Linked DNA regions of Schizosaccharomyces pombe. The protein of the gene in region 1 interacts with the protein of each later gene in a pairwise test. Each region holds a gene or a part of one and is shown on either strand. Other genes may lie near its edges.

Region 1 (4,067 bases):
GCTCAACTTCTGGTCTCATTATTCAAATGGTTTAACAAAACTCCAACACCTGCTTTAGTTGTTGGTTCTAGTTAACTTGATCCTTTACTATCGCGTGGGAACACTCAGGTTAAACCTATCAGCTTTGAAGCATGTAACGAATATTTAACGCATCGTTATCAAATATAGCGAATTAGCAACTGCTTGTGGCATAATTAACATTTTATCACTCTCTACTACACAGTATAGTAAGCTTGTAAAATACTTTTGAGTAATTATCAGTTATAGAAAGATTTTAGAGAGAGATTTTGTTAAATATAAGATCATCTCTTTTTCAATTTAGTAAATTTAGCAATAAACAAGAAGCATCTTACCTTGTTGGAATTGAGCGTTAGGTGCTCAGTTTTATCATTAGTCGAAACAAAGTACACTGTTTACCAATAGTCTATTTAATAATAAGAGTATTATTTTTATCGCGATCTGCGAGAGCTTTTAAACTAAACACGTATTTCGACTATGTGAGATAACTATAAATATAGAATTTACCAGTATACGTAAAACTAAGAAAAACCATATAAAACTATTTGCCAACTTATATCTACCTGCCACCGATTTTATACGCAATTCTTTTCCAGCAAATTACATAACTTTTCAAGTATGAGTGTAAACGTGATCAACTAACATACTATCTAATAGATAGATGACAACGAAAAAAGCATTTTACTACTAAAGTGTACTCTCAATCGTAGAGAACTGTTCAATTGTAAGATGTATCTAATAAATCTTTAGTCGTATACTTTCTTTCAATACTTTGGTTGTATAGCATTAACGGAGGGAAACCATATTGAAATGTTTTAAATTAAGAGATTTTATAGTCAATCCATATAACGATTAGGGGAATTGCTTCGAAGTTTTGGGGATAATAGTTGCATCTATTTGGCGTAACTGTGGAAGACATAATCTAACTTTGTTACGGTAAACAGCAGGATTGGTTTTCTGCAAAGGATTTCCCTCAAAATAAACGGTTTCAAGTTTTTTAAGACCAGAAAGCTCGTCTTCAATTTCTTGAAAAGAAGACAGTTCGTTATTGCTAGCCCATAATTCTACTAGATTTTTTAGTCCCGCTAAGTATGAAAGGTGCTTAATCATGTTGTTGGAAACATCCAAAATTTCAAGGTTTTCGAGGACCTCAATACCAGAGAAACTAGTTAGACCATTATGCGATACATATAATTCTCGAAGACAATGGGATAAGCAGGCCAAGTTTTCAAATTGAGTTATTCGATTTGATTGAATTGATAAAAGAGAAAGTTTCTGTAATTTTTCAAAATTCTCGAATTTGGTTATTTTGTTTTTGCCAACCCAGAGTTTTTCTAAATTAACTAAAGTATCCAAATTCTCAATTACTCTTATTTTGTTCCCCCCCAATTCAAGGTTCGTTAACCTGTCTAAACCTTCTAAATTTTCAATTCTCCTAATTCTGTTTTGGACAAAGAAGAGGTTTTCTAAGCCCTTTAAATGGTTAATGTTTCGAATCGTTTTAATATTGTTGAAAGACAGATCCAAGTAAGTGAGATTTTTGACATTATCCAAGTTTTCAATTCTGACAATTAAGTTGTCATACAAATCCAATTCAGTCAATGTTTCTGGAACTGATTCAATTTTCTTGATTTGATTTTGGCGAAGACATAAACTCTGTAAATTTTTAAATCTTTCAAGTCCAAGAGATGCCATGCTTTGTATACGAGACTGAATAAGCTCTACGCACTATATTAAGTTGGTTAGCTATATTTCAATTTAATGATTTAAAGATATCATTTACATCGACGTCGTCCGGCACATCATCAAGCAGATCTTCATCTGCATCGATTTGCTGGACATCAGGGTCATCAATGATAAGCTGTGTCTCAGGAGCAATTCCATCTTCACTGGAAACGTTACTCATTGTAAAAAAAGGCGATATAATAAAAAGGGCAAACGTGTTACAAACGAAAGTACTATATGCTTTCAAGTAGAGTACCGTGACAACATAACGACGCTTTAGGAAGCAACGATACTCTTGCTATAGCTTTTTACAAATCTGTATAGTTTTTATCGAATCGTTAAAAAACTCACTATAGTGAAACTCATAGCATACCGCAACATAAAATAATCTTATTCAGCGAAAATCATTAAGTTGACTAAATGCTAAACAATCCCAATTGCAGCTTAATTGTTTAACAATCGTTAGTACTCATCACATTAATGGAACAATTATCATATGGTGTGTATAGATTTATTAATGAACGATAACTTACACGGTAATATAACCCCCTCCTCGAATACTGATAAAAACAGATTTGAAAACAAGGTTCATTTCAAGTCATGTTAAGCTAGTCAATCAAATATATGGCAATGTGAAATTGTACATTCTCTGAAAGAAGTTACAAACGATGTATAGTTTACGGAATTGACTTCGACATTCAAATATAAGGGTATAAAATAAATGAATAAATGACAGTTGACCTAGAAGGGAATAGCAAATAACAACGTCTCATTTAATACACCGATGACACATGACTACTAGCAAGCATGAGTTTAGCGAGGGATATGAGCAAAGGAGTTTTCGTTATCTTTTGCTTCCCATATAAGACTATCAACATCAAAGTTTCCATGGAAGACCCAACCATTTTCATCAATGTGATAAAGATTTACTGAGCCACCAGAGTATGCATCTCTGTGAGTGGCAGCAACAATAGAGCGCTGAGCTAAATAAAGAGCTTCTTGTTTAGATAAGTCCCAGCGATATCCAGAGTCCAAAACACCGTACGCAAATGTAGAACCTGAACCAACGGAAAACAAATCACCTTTCAATCGGGTGCCATCACTGTCGATGTAGTAAAGTGCAGTACCACCTTTTCCTGTTCCAGCAAGCATAGTACCCATGCTAAGTCCATAACCCTTGTATGAATAAGTAATGTTTGAAAGAATTTTGCTAGCAGCAGAAACAGAGATTAACTCCTTATTTCTAAGTTGATGTAAACGACATTCCATTCCTAGAACTGTCTCCCAAAACTGACAGTCAGCTGCACCACCAGCAAGAGTACCTAAAAGATATGGGTTTATCTCTATAACTTTTTTAACGGTTTGTGAAGCAATAAGAGGACCGGCAGATGCTCTCGAATCTACACAAACAACGATACCATGTTGGTAACGAAAAGCTAAAGTAGTAGTACCATGATTCATTTTAATAAGACAATGCTTGTTTTTCGTTTCATCTGTTAAGTTTCGTAAATAAAGAGAAGATTGAGGCACTGGTACGACATCAAATCGATTTGTAAATCCTTCTTCTTCTATTATTTTTTTTGGGTCATCATTGTTAGTACTTTGTGTATACTTAGATACGATAGAATTCATGATTAAAGAATAGTATTACGCTCTTAGCACGTTCGTCGCTCAGTCAGCTTACGGCAAACACTCAATATAGCGACTCTCTTAGAAATCGCTATTATAATATTTGGAACACTACCGCGACTACTGTTATGACTAAACGCAAAAGAAGCGAAAAATGTCAAACATTTTTAAAAATAAGTTTTTGTCAAATTTAAATTATTTTTGTTTTCTAGACTTAATAGTAATATTTCAGCTGATTTTGTATATTTATCTAACATTTTAGGAATGCCAATTTATGAGTCCATGTGACCTATCTAGCATGTTGGGAAAACAAAGAAACTATCGTTTTAGCGTGCCATTTTACAGTTACGTTAAATAAGTATACCGATGCTTAAAACTGGCAAATAAAAAACAACAGAAAGTTACACTCTTCTTTTTACTCAATTACCTATACCTAGACGCATCTGTTTAACGGGAAAACGATAATATAATTACTTCTCGTAGTTCTAGCACATATATAGTTTTTTGAAGCTCACTTGAGTAATTTTGTAGATTTTGAAATTCGGGAACCGTAAGTTGAGGAAATATATTATAGGGAATATGAAGAGTGCTACAATCATTGGAGGCGGTTCTCATCCTGAACTTTTACATCTCATTTCTAACCGACTTGGAATTACACCTTGTGATGTATCTCTAAAAAGGTTTGCAAATGGCGA
Region 2 (4,581 bases), on another chromosome or scaffold:
ATTGGCAAACCAGCACCAACAGAAGCCTCGTGCATCAATAAAGCACCGCTCTCCTTGCTAGCCTTGATAATGTTTTGATAGACATCATTACTAGCAGAGAATGCTTTCTTGTTGGGAGTAGCAATGTTGATTTTCTTGCTCAAAAATTTAGGATAAGATTGAGCGATTGCTTCAGAGGCAGTGTTATCGACCAAAATGGCGGGAAGGGGGGACTTGGCAAGGAAATCTACCAAAGCATCTAATGAATAAGCACCTTGGTTCTGAGAAGTAAGGTTCTTCCATTCAGACAAATTAATGGGCTGATAATCCTTGGAGACGTAGTGACCTTCCATACTAGAAATGGCAACAACGTTAAAAGAGGTAGTGCCATTGGTAGAAGCGTTTTCATTAAAACCCTTAATTTGGTTTAAGAGTTCACCGCCGATGTTTCCTGTACCTATTTATTTTTAAGTGATTAGCTTTCGCTTTACAAAACATTCAAGCATTCAATTTATTGTGTGCTTACCAACAATAGCAACGTTAACGTTAGTTCTGCTAGCTGACATTTTCAAATAGTGGGTGGGAGAGGTAGAGATGCTACGACGTTGGGTCGGATTACGAAAAGCAGTGACAAGGGTTTTCTCAAAGGAAACTTTGGAAGAGGTGATATACGAATTGATAATTTTGTTGTAGGGAAATAAAATTTTAGAAAGTGTAGATAATTTAGGGAGATTTAAATTTTTTCCATGTCTAAATATTGTCATACCAAACATTTTTTAGAAGAGTTTATTTTATACCCAAAAATGAGTTTTCAACCAAGGAAGGATCTTTCTCTCTGATTGATATCAAAGTTTTGCAGGTATATTTGTTGTGAACAAAATGTGAGCGACATTATATTAATCGAGTCAGAACATATTTGTAATAATACTCAAAAGCGCAAAATCTATTACTGTAGCAATAATGATGTTGATTTCGTTTGATACAAATTTTATTTAATTTGATTTTGTTTTATTGAAGCTCCGCTAAATAAACTTAGCTAGAAATCTAGTATAGAAGCCGATTTATATAAATTAATCACAAATTATAAATATAACGCATTAAATTTCATATATGGGATTCAATGGCATACAATCATATATTTACTTTTACAATTAATAAAAACCACTTAATCAACTTATGTGATTTATTAGTGTTTATCGACTCGTGAAAAAAAATATTTAATTTTTTGCTTCGTAAATTAAATTATATGCTGCTAAGTGTCTAAATAAATCACATTCCATCCATCAAATTTGCTTTTTTATTATTAAAAAAAAAAAAAAAAAAAAAAAAAAAAGAGATTTTTGAAGAGAAAAGTCTAGGGTTCAAGAAAATGAAAAACTGTAATGAAACCAATCTGACTATATAATTTGTTAATTATATATGCATATTATTATGATTAGCAAACTCAAATCATAAGCAGGTGCAGCTTTTTCAATTTAAAAGTTCAGATAACATACATTAAATTATTTATTTATTTTCTAAATCAAGCTTAGAAGAAAATAAAATATTATGATAAAATACTGCGAAATTAAAATGTTCTGAATATACCATTTTAAATTCTAATGAAGTTTTCTTGCAAAACAATAAACCGATATTATCTTGAAGTAGGTTGCTATCTCTTAAAATATTTAAATTATTCTTCACCTTTTATTAATAAAGAAAATTGAATCAATTTGCTAGACAATTTGTAGAGCAGCAAGATTTAGAGGGTTGTTTAAAATCAACAATTAATATAAGAAAAGAATTCCAAAGTAATTTAATTATAGGTTTATATACGTTTTTTTAATGTAGTAGTGATTATAGAAACTAGGAATATAGGAAAGTAGGCACATATTATGCATCAAGCTCGTTGTACACCCACCACCCAACCATTCAACTACCTACTACATACAACTCACTCCAGTTTCCTACTGTTAGCCATAACCTTTATTTCTGAGTTAGCAGCAAATATTGCTTTTAAACGGTTTGCCGACTGAATACCGTTCTCCGTCCGTCTTACTTTTCCTCGGAACACTTTACTTGGAAGAAAAATCGTCGAAATTCGGTCGAGTAAAAAATTAATCACAGACCCAAAAATTTGACTTCATAAGTGTCAAAAGCGGTTATATTGGATACCTGTAAAATGTCGAACCCAGATGTGGATTTGGATTCCATTATCGACCGCTTGTTAGAAGGTGAGTGGGGAAAAGCAGACTTGATCATGATGAAGGGTTGAGTTTAGACAAATTTTTGAAAGGAAATTGAAATCAGTTGTTGTTTAATACAATAATTTACATGAAGAAACTGGAAACGACTCTATGTAAATGTTCATTCAACTGTTCATAAAATTTGAGGAAAACCCAGGAAAAAGGGAAAGTTTTTTCTTTGAAAACGTTTAGAAAGCATTTTCTTTGATTCTTGGTCTCATTTGTGATGACACTTGCTTTATATACATAATCACGCATATTTGTATTCAAATGCGATTGCATATTGGCATATATCGTGTTTCTGTGTGAATGATTTTTCTAACCAATACTTCCATCCTTAATTTTACCATTTAAACCATTTAGCTATTTACTAACTTCTTTTAGTCCGTGGTAGTCGTCCAGGTAGACAGGTTCAATTATCTGAAGATGAAATACGATTTTTATGTAACAAAGCACGTGAAATATTTATTAGTCAACCTATCCTTCTAGAGCTTGAAGCTCCTTTGAAAATTTGTGGAGATATTCATGGCCAATATTACGATCTTCTTCGACTTTTTGAGTACGGAGGATTCCCTCCAGAAGCCAACTATCTGTTTCTAGGTGATTATGTTGACAGAGGAAAACAAAGCTTGGAAGTAATTTGTCTTTTGCTCGCTTATAAAATCAAGTACCCCGAAAATTTTTTTATTTTACGTGGAAATCATGAATGCGCCAGTATTAATCGTATCTATGGATTTTACGATGAATGTAAGCGCCGTTATAACATTAAGTTATGGAAAACATTTACAGATTGCTTCAACTGCCTTCCTATAGCAGCTATCATTGATGAAAAAATTTTTACTATGCATGGAGGTCTTTCGCCAGATTTGAACTCTATGGACCAGATCCAAAGAATCATGCGACCGACCGATGTCCCTGATACTGGGTTACTCTGTGATTTACTTTGGTCTGATCCTGACAAGGATCTTACAGGCTGGGGTGATAATGATAGAGGTGTTTCTTTCACGTTTGGACCTGATGTTGTCTCTCGGTTTTTGCACAAACACGATATGGATCTTGTTTGCCGAGCCCATCAGGTTGTGGAAGACGGTTATGAGTTCTTCTCTAAACGTCAGCTAGTCACATTGTTCAGTGCACCTAATTACTGTGGCGAGTTTGATAATGCAGGTGCGATGATGAGTGTTGACGAGAGCTTGTTGTGCAGTTTCCAGATTTTGAAACCGGCTGAAAAAAAACAACGCTACGGATACCAAGGTTCAAGTCAAAATTGGCACATGACTCCACCTCGGAAGAATAAGACAGGAAATTCAAAGTAATTTAAGCTCAATCCAATTTCTCCCATTCTTTTTTGTTGGTTTCATTTTCCACAAGCAACAATTCGACGATAATACCGCTTTATGTAGCTGTTTGAACGGATTTCTTTTCGTCATTTCTCAATGGTCGATGATTAATTGTTCATGAAATAACTGAATGTTCTTTTAAGAAATTATTTTTTGCACTACCATTTCATTATTCATTTTCTTTCTTTTCCGTCAATTGTTAGATGTATATAGACTATTGCCTTTTATTTTTCATCATCTAAATTCCCTTTTTTAACAAAATCTGACGCTTAAAAGACGGATGTTTTTACCGAGCAATAGTTGTTTGAACTACTTTATACTTCTTATCTTCGAGAGAGTGCTTAACGTTGATGATGGCATTTTCCGCTGCAAGCTTCTGTTTGCTATCGGTGGAATCCTTTATAATGACCATTGACAATTTTGTTTAAAGGTCTTTCATTTCAATTATGTATACTGGTCTCACGTTGGAAAATAATTTGCCTATTTAGTTATTGTTTATACTACTATGCAATCAAATTTCCTTTTCAGTGATGCTATTTTATGGTAGTTCACACGTTTATATACAGTAGGCTTATACAATGTTTCGGCATTCCTTGGGATTTGATAATATAAAGCCACCGTTTAATCGTAAGAGAGAGTAAGGTGCTTATTATCATTACAGCTATTTACCGGCGAGTTAGCAGAGTACTCACTAACAAGTCTATGAACACAATAATAATATTAAGAAATTCAGATTTATACTGCTGCTAAGGTACTATCAATTAATAGAAAATTTGTACCACCCAATTCTTGACTAAATTCGGTGAAGATTAGCCGAAAGTTAGCCAATATGTATAAGGGCGAATCATCAGTCTAGCACGAAAAACAAGTTCAACCGCAATTAATCTCACGGGTAATTTTGTTAAAAAGTGCAATGATACAATTTACTTTAGATTAACAGAACGTCACAGCTATTCATATACATCCAGTAAGAGCTTACTCTACGCATTCGCTTTAAATTTAACCGGCAGACTACCTTTATTTTTAGAAGCACAAAT

The links.
Region 2: the proteins of sds22 (region 1) and dis2 interact in binary tests that used the Schizosaccharomyces pombe proteins (3 or more experiments, as listed by UniProt).

Annotation. Positions count from the first base shown.
Region 1 is NC_003424.3:2,572,550-2,576,616, forward strand, and holds sds22 (serine/threonine protein phosphatase PP1 regulatory subunit Sds22), read right to left. Parts: upstream 1,993-4,067; 5' UTR 1,925-1,992; coding exon 1,802-1,924; exon of another isoform or gene 1,747-1,801; coding exon 871-1,746; 3' UTR 611-870; downstream 1-610. Other genes in the region: fatty acid synthase alpha subunit Fas2, read right to left, coding at 1-19; pts1 (20S proteasome complex subunit beta 5), read right to left, coding at 2,557-3,375; SPOM_SPAC4A8.14 (ribose-phosphate pyrophosphokinase), read left to right, coding at 3,952-4,067. UniProt on the Schizosaccharomyces pombe protein: Essential for the mitotic metaphase/anaphase transition. Positively modulates protein phosphatase-1, possibly by forming a repeating helical rod that is capable of enhancing a PP1-dependent dephosphorylation activity.
Region 2 is NC_003423.3:3,172,658-3,177,238, reverse strand, and holds dis2 (serine/threonine protein phosphatase PP1 catalytic subunit Dis2), read left to right. Parts: upstream 1-2,140; coding exon 2,141-2,192; exon of another isoform or gene 2,193-2,260; intron 2,261-2,541; exon of another isoform or gene 2,542-2,588; coding exon 2,589-3,520; 3' UTR 3,521-4,074; downstream 4,075-4,581. Other genes in the region: hom6 (homoserine dehydrogenase), read right to left, coding at 1-436, 506-545. UniProt on the Schizosaccharomyces pombe protein: Essential role in cell cycle control. PP1 is perhaps required for exit from mitosis.